Kluyveromyces lactis: one gene and its partner. The protein of the gene in region 2 interacts with the protein of the main gene of each other region in a pairwise test. Links are inferred from orthologs where the notes say so. Each region holds a gene or a part of one and is shown on either strand. Other genes may lie near its edges.

Region 1 (3,146 bases), on a different chromosome or scaffold from region 2:
GTTCGATCCTAAGAAAGTTTTGATATTGGAGTGATATTTCTCACTAGTAGCTGAGTGATCATTAGACATAAGATCCTTGAACTGGTATGATAAGATTTCATAGACTATCTCTGAAGGTAACCGCATCGTCGATGTTTCACTGATCATATTGAACGAATTATGATATGCGAGCCCCGAATAACACGTTTTATACACTTCACCAATCCTTAAAGCTATTTGCACCTGTTTTGGTGCTCTTGATGATTTCTTTAAGATCCACTTTGGTTTTCATTTTTTCTTCTATTGATGCGGGTCTTTTGTTCAAGTTCTTGTTCATTCTAATTATATCGCTACTTTATTTTTCATTTCAGGGCATAAAGTACACTTAAGGTTCATAAGGGATCAAAGAGTATGAAAAACGTGATGTGGTTATTCGTAGCTTTACTTAGTTATGTAATTAACTATATGATTGTCTAATATGAGTATGAGAATTCTTGTATTACTTTTCCTCAATTTGACAGACTAGGCGTCCTAATGAGAAGTACCCATGAAACGTAAAATCCTTGAGTCTCAGTACATTCATTCAAAGACTATGCGGATAGTTTTTTTTTAGTTCATAGAATATCGAACATATCAATTTAGAGGCTTCATAACTTCACCATAAAGCATCTTTTTCAACAGTTCCAGTGGAATATCGTCTTCCTCGTTTTTATCGCGGGCCTCGTTGTCAATTTTCCAAAAATTGTCTTCAAGGTTTAGTTGGGGATAATCTGGCTCGTCATCTGGATCATGATATGTTGCCAAATATGGATGTTCCAACGCTTCAACTGCACTGATCCTCTTGTCTGGGTTGAAAGTTAGCATCTTGGACAATAAATCGATAGCAAGAGGGTTAACTTCTTTATTTAACACATTAGCCCAGGGTATACCTTTCTTCATGGGTAGTTGAGATATGTATTCTTTTGCCCTTTTACTCTTGATTTGTTCAAAGTCTTCCAAAGTTGGAGACCCTAAAACTTCTAAGATGATCCAGAGTTGATGGTGGTAATCTTTACCTGGGAAAAGCGGCTTACCCATGATCATTTCTGCTAGTATACATCCACATGACCAGATATCCATTGCAGTTGTGTATTCTTGGAAGGACAACATGATTTCTGGAGCCCTATACCATCTGGTAGCTACATATTCTGTCATGAAACCCACCATATTCTCTCTTGATTGATCACTCGATGCCAGGCAACGAGCCAACCCAAAATCACACACTTTGAGATCACAATTGCTATTCAGTAACAAATTACTTGGTTTCAAATCCCTATGGATTACTTGTGCCGAATGTAGCGATTTTAAAGCCCTTAGTATTTGATAAACGAAATATTGGATATGATCCTCTGATAAATTTTGTTGGTTGATAATCTTCTGCAAATCCGTTTCCATCAACTCTTGTACAAGATAAACTGCTTCAAATTTATGCCATGACGTCGGACGTACTATATCCAAGACCGATATGATATTTTCATGCGAATGAAAGAATTTCAACAGTTTCAACTCCCGTAACGTCCTGGTAACAAACATCGATCTGCTAAACGGCTGTATCTTTTTAATTGCAACTTTCGTGTTTGTTGGCTTATGTATCGCAGAGCAAACTGTACCATATGCTCCCTCACCAACCAGATCTACTAGTTGATAATGGGATGGGATATCATACGTGATTGTTCGTGGCATCTCTATGCTGTTAGATCTCCGGTTTGCTTGTTATAATGATCTCTGCTATTCCACTATTATAGATTTAGTTTCCCCCCACTAAGGATTAAATATTATATATACCTATAGCGTCCAATTGCAAAACTCTGGATGGGAATCCTTTATCGTCATTCCCGAGCGTTGACTCGGCGCCTTAAGTATCCCATTGAGTTGACACAATGCGCGACGTTCCATGTCGTCCAGATAAAGAATGTTTCGTCCTTGAATCTTTGTTTCATGTTGGTGAACATTCCATCCAATCTCGAAACCTGAAAAAATGTTACCCCGGTGTCAGTCATGTGACTTATAATACACATCACTGCTCGGACATACCGCAATGCGCTTCACCGTTCAAGAAAGTGCAGTTTCACACATGTTCTGTCGGTTGTTACCACTGCGACTGAGCATAAATTGGATCCATGCGGGTAAATCTGCGGAACTCATTTCCCGATAGGTGAACTGAAAGTCATAGTTAAAGTTAACAGAGAATTGATAAGGGAATAGCTAAGACCGCAACGTGGATTTACAGATTTTTCGAGTTACCTTAAATGGTAGTTCCTCGAGAGAAGGCAACATGACTTGACTGTAAATGAGCTGGAAGTGATATCTAAGATAGGTGGGGTCGAGGCAGCGCGTTTGTCAGAATAGCATGGTTTGTCATCGGTAACATACATAAGTGAAGGGACATGGGATTGAGATTCTCTTTCCTCAGTAAAGTTTTCCAACCTAGTTTCAGTTTGAAGTAGGAAACAGCCAATTGGCAGATCACTTACTTGAGCATTCCCAGTTTCTATAGTAGAGTAAAACATCTACTGAATATATCTATAGCGGTGAAAGTCACAATTTCATCAGTAAGCTTTATTTGAGCCTGAAATTATCAAATGACATGTCTAACAAATCTCAGCCATTGATCACTGTTGTTGGTGCAGGTATTTCTGGTTTGTACGTCACGTACTGTTTGACCGAATTGTACGGCGTTCCGGGTGAAAATATCTGCATTGTGGCAGATTACTTACCAGGTGACCAGTCACCCACTGGTTATACTAGTCCATGGGCAGGTGGTGTTTGGTCTTGTATTTCACCTGATGATAAAAACGTCATGTGGTATGATAGGTTCACGTATGAGAATTTACCTACTTTAAGTGAAAAATTACTGGATTTCTACAAGGGTAAAGATGCAGAGTGGTTAGGATTAGCTCGCAGACCATCCACGGAATTATGGGATTACCAGCCTCCCAAGGCCAAGATTAATTCCTTGAGCCAATATTTGGAAGAGTATAAGGTCCTATCGAAGGAAGAACTTGCAAAATTCAAACCTGAGGGAGCCCAATTTGGTATCGCTTTCAACTCATGGAACTTCAATTGTCCAGTATTCATAGTAAACTTGGCTAACTTCTTGAAACAGAAGCATAATGTGCGTTTCTTGA
Region 2 (4,088 bases):
ACAAACATCAATGAATAATTTTCCATTTCAAATCTCTTGTTTGATACCAATTCTCTGAACTGCAATGCAGTTTCAGTTGGCTTTCCTGAATTTCTTTCAGCAATCACCCTACACTCTTCGTACATGTCATCACCGAATATTAGATGAGGCAACCTTCTGAAATATAATTTTAAAAGTCCCGCAACCGTATTGACATCTAGATAGGGACCATTCTTCAAACTGCCCTCATGTGAAGCGTTGTATTCGCATAAATTTACATCATATTCTTTATCAAATTGTTCTTGGAGGGTTTTTATCAAAGCACTTGATCCACTTAATCTAAATATACCTTCTTCATTTATGGCTCTGTTCTTATACAAATATTCCAAACATCTGTAAACAACGGTTGGTATCTCGTGAGTGTTTTGGTATACTCTAGAACTCAAGCTTAGGCAGTGTTTGATGTCGGATCCAAATACAACATTGGAAATTGCCTCATCATGTAGGTTCATGCCATGGAGAGCACTAGCAAAAGACCTTTCAGCAGATGTTTCGTCCGATTCTTTAGTAATATCTAAGGAAGAAGTTGAAAGCTGAGGTTGATTTTTCTTGAATGGGAAAAAGGACCTCATTCTATTCCTTTTGGTTTCCCTATCCATTTCAGTTGTTGCAGGTTCGACTTGTTGAGATTTACCAAGCATTTCGAGGTTAACCATTGGTCCAATCGCAGCACTGCTGCTTGTATCTACCGATGCATCGCTGATACTTCCTTGATCTTGGGCAGAAGAAAGAGTATCTGCTTTGATATTTGCAACGGAGTTGCTGCAAACTTTTATAAGAGCGCTGATCCATTCTTCTCGTTGTTTGGCGGTTTCAGCGCCAAAATAATGCCTGGATGTGCTAGAAAGACCGCTCTTCTTTGGTTCATTCAAAATAAACCCATTTTTAGTGCCGTACTTATCATCAGGTAAATTCGCTTGTAATTCAATTGTACTACTTACCAACTTGATGCTCTCCACTAGATTTTCTTGATCGAATAATAACAAAGTTTGATCCTCAATTACAGCTTGTCGTACTTTCCAAGAATTACCGCTACCCAACGCCTTATTTTTGCGTACCAAAAGTACCCCTTCTTTTACGCTGTCAGTCATTCCAATTGGTACGGAGATTGCGGTATCTGTACTAATAAATTGTGCAAGTTTTAGAGACATCACTGGTGATAGGTTACTAAGTTCAAAGAGTGCTAATAAATAATCTGTTAATAACTCCCTTCTCAAATCGACTTTAACAGGAACAGTAGTCTGAAATAGTTGCTTTTTAGGTAGTTCCGGGAGATGATATTGCTCCATGAGCCTTATTTTCAACATATGGTCAAGCTCGTATAACTGGTCCAGAGATTTCGCAAACTTGAACATCTCTTTAGATGATTTCTTATCAATGACACTGCAGAGTATACACTTGCTTGCATCCTCAGGATTACTGTACAAAGTGCTAGAAGCTTCGACAGCTATTGTTGAAAAGTCTTCTGGTTGTACAAATAGAGGTATATCAGATATGATGTTGGGTGAGTGTAAAACACTGTCGGATTGCGGTACTTCTCCATTATAAGGAGAACCCATGTCAATTGATGAAGTGTGGTGATTTGGTGGTTGGATACGAGAAAGTGAGGAGACAGATTTGGGTGAAAAAGATTTATGGATTGAGGTGCTTGAAGAAATCGCTGAGACGTTATCTTGTGAGACAATTTTCAGTAAGTCATGAGTAGAAATGTCAGTTTTCTGCGGAAAGGAAAGCCCAGAAGGTGTTAAATTATTTGCTGCGTTTTGAATCATAACAGGAGAAGCTAGTACTTTTGAATCGGCCCTAGGAAGCGGCGGATCGAATACAGGTGGTCTTACTGCAGCTGCAGATTCCTTTTCGGGGGGTCCTTTGATTTGGCTATCATCGTCCCCAAAGGTCTTATTGATCAAGTCAGTAAATTTATTCAAATTCTGCTTGGATGAAGGAGAGAACTCCATAATTGTCTCATCCTCTTTGATGATTCTTTGGGCTGCTGGAGACATTTGTATAAAGCTCCCTGTGATATCATCGCCAGACGTGGAAGCGGTATCATCAACGAAATCTTTATCTACATCTGAAAACTGGTCTTTTAATGGAGAATGAAGTTCATTGTTAATCAAGTGTGTGACACGATTTGCTCGCTGGGGAGATAAAGCTCCATTTGGTAAAGTTGCTGGTGACTTGGGTCTTTTCAAATGGGGTTTATTGTTGATATTCGGTGAATTGGAATTTATCGATATTCGAGATGTGGTATAAGTCACGGAAGTAGCTGGACTTCCTAGAATATTATTTGGTATCCCTGTCGTTGCTAAACTATCTTTTCCCGCATCTTGGGGATCCTTTTTGGTACTAGCAGTTGCCGGCGTCGACTCGTACGCATGATCATTTTTCAATGCTTTTTCGAACTGAGTGTTTGTCTTTAATTCTTCCTGGAAATTTTGGTTATTTAATTGGAAGGTGGCAGGGGACCTAGGCAGCTTTAGATCGTAGACGTTGACCTGACTCTGTTCAGAAGTGTCCTTCATATGTCTTATTCTATCTGCTGATCTTGGTGGTAACGAAAATGTGGGATCTTTCGGGGTTTCTACTTCTAATCGCTGTTGTTCATAATTTACTACAGGTACAGCATTCTCTTTGAGTTTAGATATCAGTTCCTTTAACAGTTTGATTTCCTTTTCGTATTCTTCGACTTTAAGCCTCAATTTCACGTTCTCTTTAAAACATTCGTCGTAACTAGGTCCTGTTTCGCGATCTTTCGTAAACCTCGAGTCACCTTTTTCTATGTAATCTAAATTTCTGTCTTTCTCCTGAATATGATTCTCATATTGCTCCAAAAGCTTTAAAGTCGATGATGTAGTTTCTTTAAGGGAGTCATTAAATTGCTCCATCTTCAATGATACAAAGACCTGACGATGAGGATTCAATGCGATAGAGTCAGAGAAAGAGCTGTTTCTGCCCACCGTATTGTCCTGATGGTCTAAATTGTGAAAAGATTGGGTATACTCTTAAAGATAAAACGATATCCTCAAGCTCTTCATATATTGTACCCCAAACTTTACCAGCAAAATCTAAAATTGAAGAATATATCACTCCGTAGACCTCAGATACTGATACTAGGTACTGTTTGATAAATAGGGTTCAAGTTATCACGACGCTATTTGAATGATAAACACGTTACGATATTAAAGTAGCTTTTATGAAAAATATTCTTTGATACGCGATATTCAATTTTTCACGGTTTCTAAAATTTAATGTCCTTGACATAAAAGGGAAGCCGAAGGGAAGACGGCTTGTAACGCGTTTAGTGACTTCTGTCAGAGATGGATATATTACGAGTTGGCGGTAATAATGAGTTGGATCTTTTGTAGATGTTATAATCGACCAGCCAACAGTCTCTGTTCTTAGAAAGAACGCCTGCTGGGAGCAGTTAATTAATGAATGTTGATCCCCGCCTTGGATTATGTAATGCAGTATATATTCGGATTTATTATTATTTAACGAGTAGGCCTTCAAAACTCAAAGAGTGGTTGATATCAAGGTGGTTATGCAGTATCAATACACTTTTCATCTCATTTTAGTAATATTTCCATCATTGTTAGCCAACATTTCCAGCGCCAGTTTGAAGATATTCAGAACATTAGTTAACTGGGTATTTTGTGCCAGTTCCTTTCAAGAAGAATCCTTCAATATTCTCTAACGTGGCAGCAGTCTGCCTTTGGAGTATTTCTATGACTGTGGAGCCAATATGTGGAAGTAAGGTAATATCCCATCTTTCGAAGAATCTTGAATCCACAACGTCCGATTCATTTTTGTAGACGTCAAGGCCAGCTGACATGACCTTCCCACTATCCAATGCATCTAATAAATCATCTTCGTTAATACAAGATCCACGACCAACGTTGACGATACGCACACCGTCTTTACATTTTTCCAATGTAGTCTTATCAATAATATCTTCTGTGTCTGGAGTTCCAGGTAATGCTAGTACTATAAGATCAGCGTCTCTCCAGAACGCTTCATCATCCATGGATGGTATATAATTAGCCTTA

The links.
Region 1: the proteins of BEM3 (region 2) and KSS1 interact in a protein complementation assay, tested with the Saccharomyces cerevisiae proteins (2 studies listed by BioGRID, with this or other methods). The link is inferred for Kluyveromyces lactis from reciprocal best matches to the Saccharomyces cerevisiae genes BEM3 and KSS1.

Annotation. Positions count from the first base shown.
Region 1 is NC_006037.1:217,147-220,292, reverse strand, and holds KSS1 (mitogen-activated serine/threonine-protein kinase KSS1), read right to left. Parts: upstream 1,702-3,146; coding exon 613-1,701; downstream 1-612. Other genes in the region: LUG1 (Lug1p), read right to left, coding at 1-147; KLLA0_A02475g (FAD-dependent oxidoreductase), read left to right, coding at 2,606-3,146. UniProt on the Saccharomyces cerevisiae protein: Together with closely related FUS3, KSS1 is the final kinase in the signal transduction cascade regulating activation/repression of the mating and filamentation pathways, induced by pheromone and nitrogen/carbon limitation, respectively.
Region 2 is NC_006042.1:69,375-73,462, reverse strand, and holds the start of BEM3 (GTPase-activating protein BEM3), read right to left. Parts: upstream 2,928-4,088; coding exon 1-2,927. Other genes in the region: KLLA0_F00792g (glyoxylate reductase), read right to left, coding at 3,677-4,088. UniProt on the Saccharomyces cerevisiae protein: GTPase-activating protein (GAP) for CDC42 and less efficiently for RHO1. Negative regulator of the pheromone-response pathway through the STE20 protein kinase.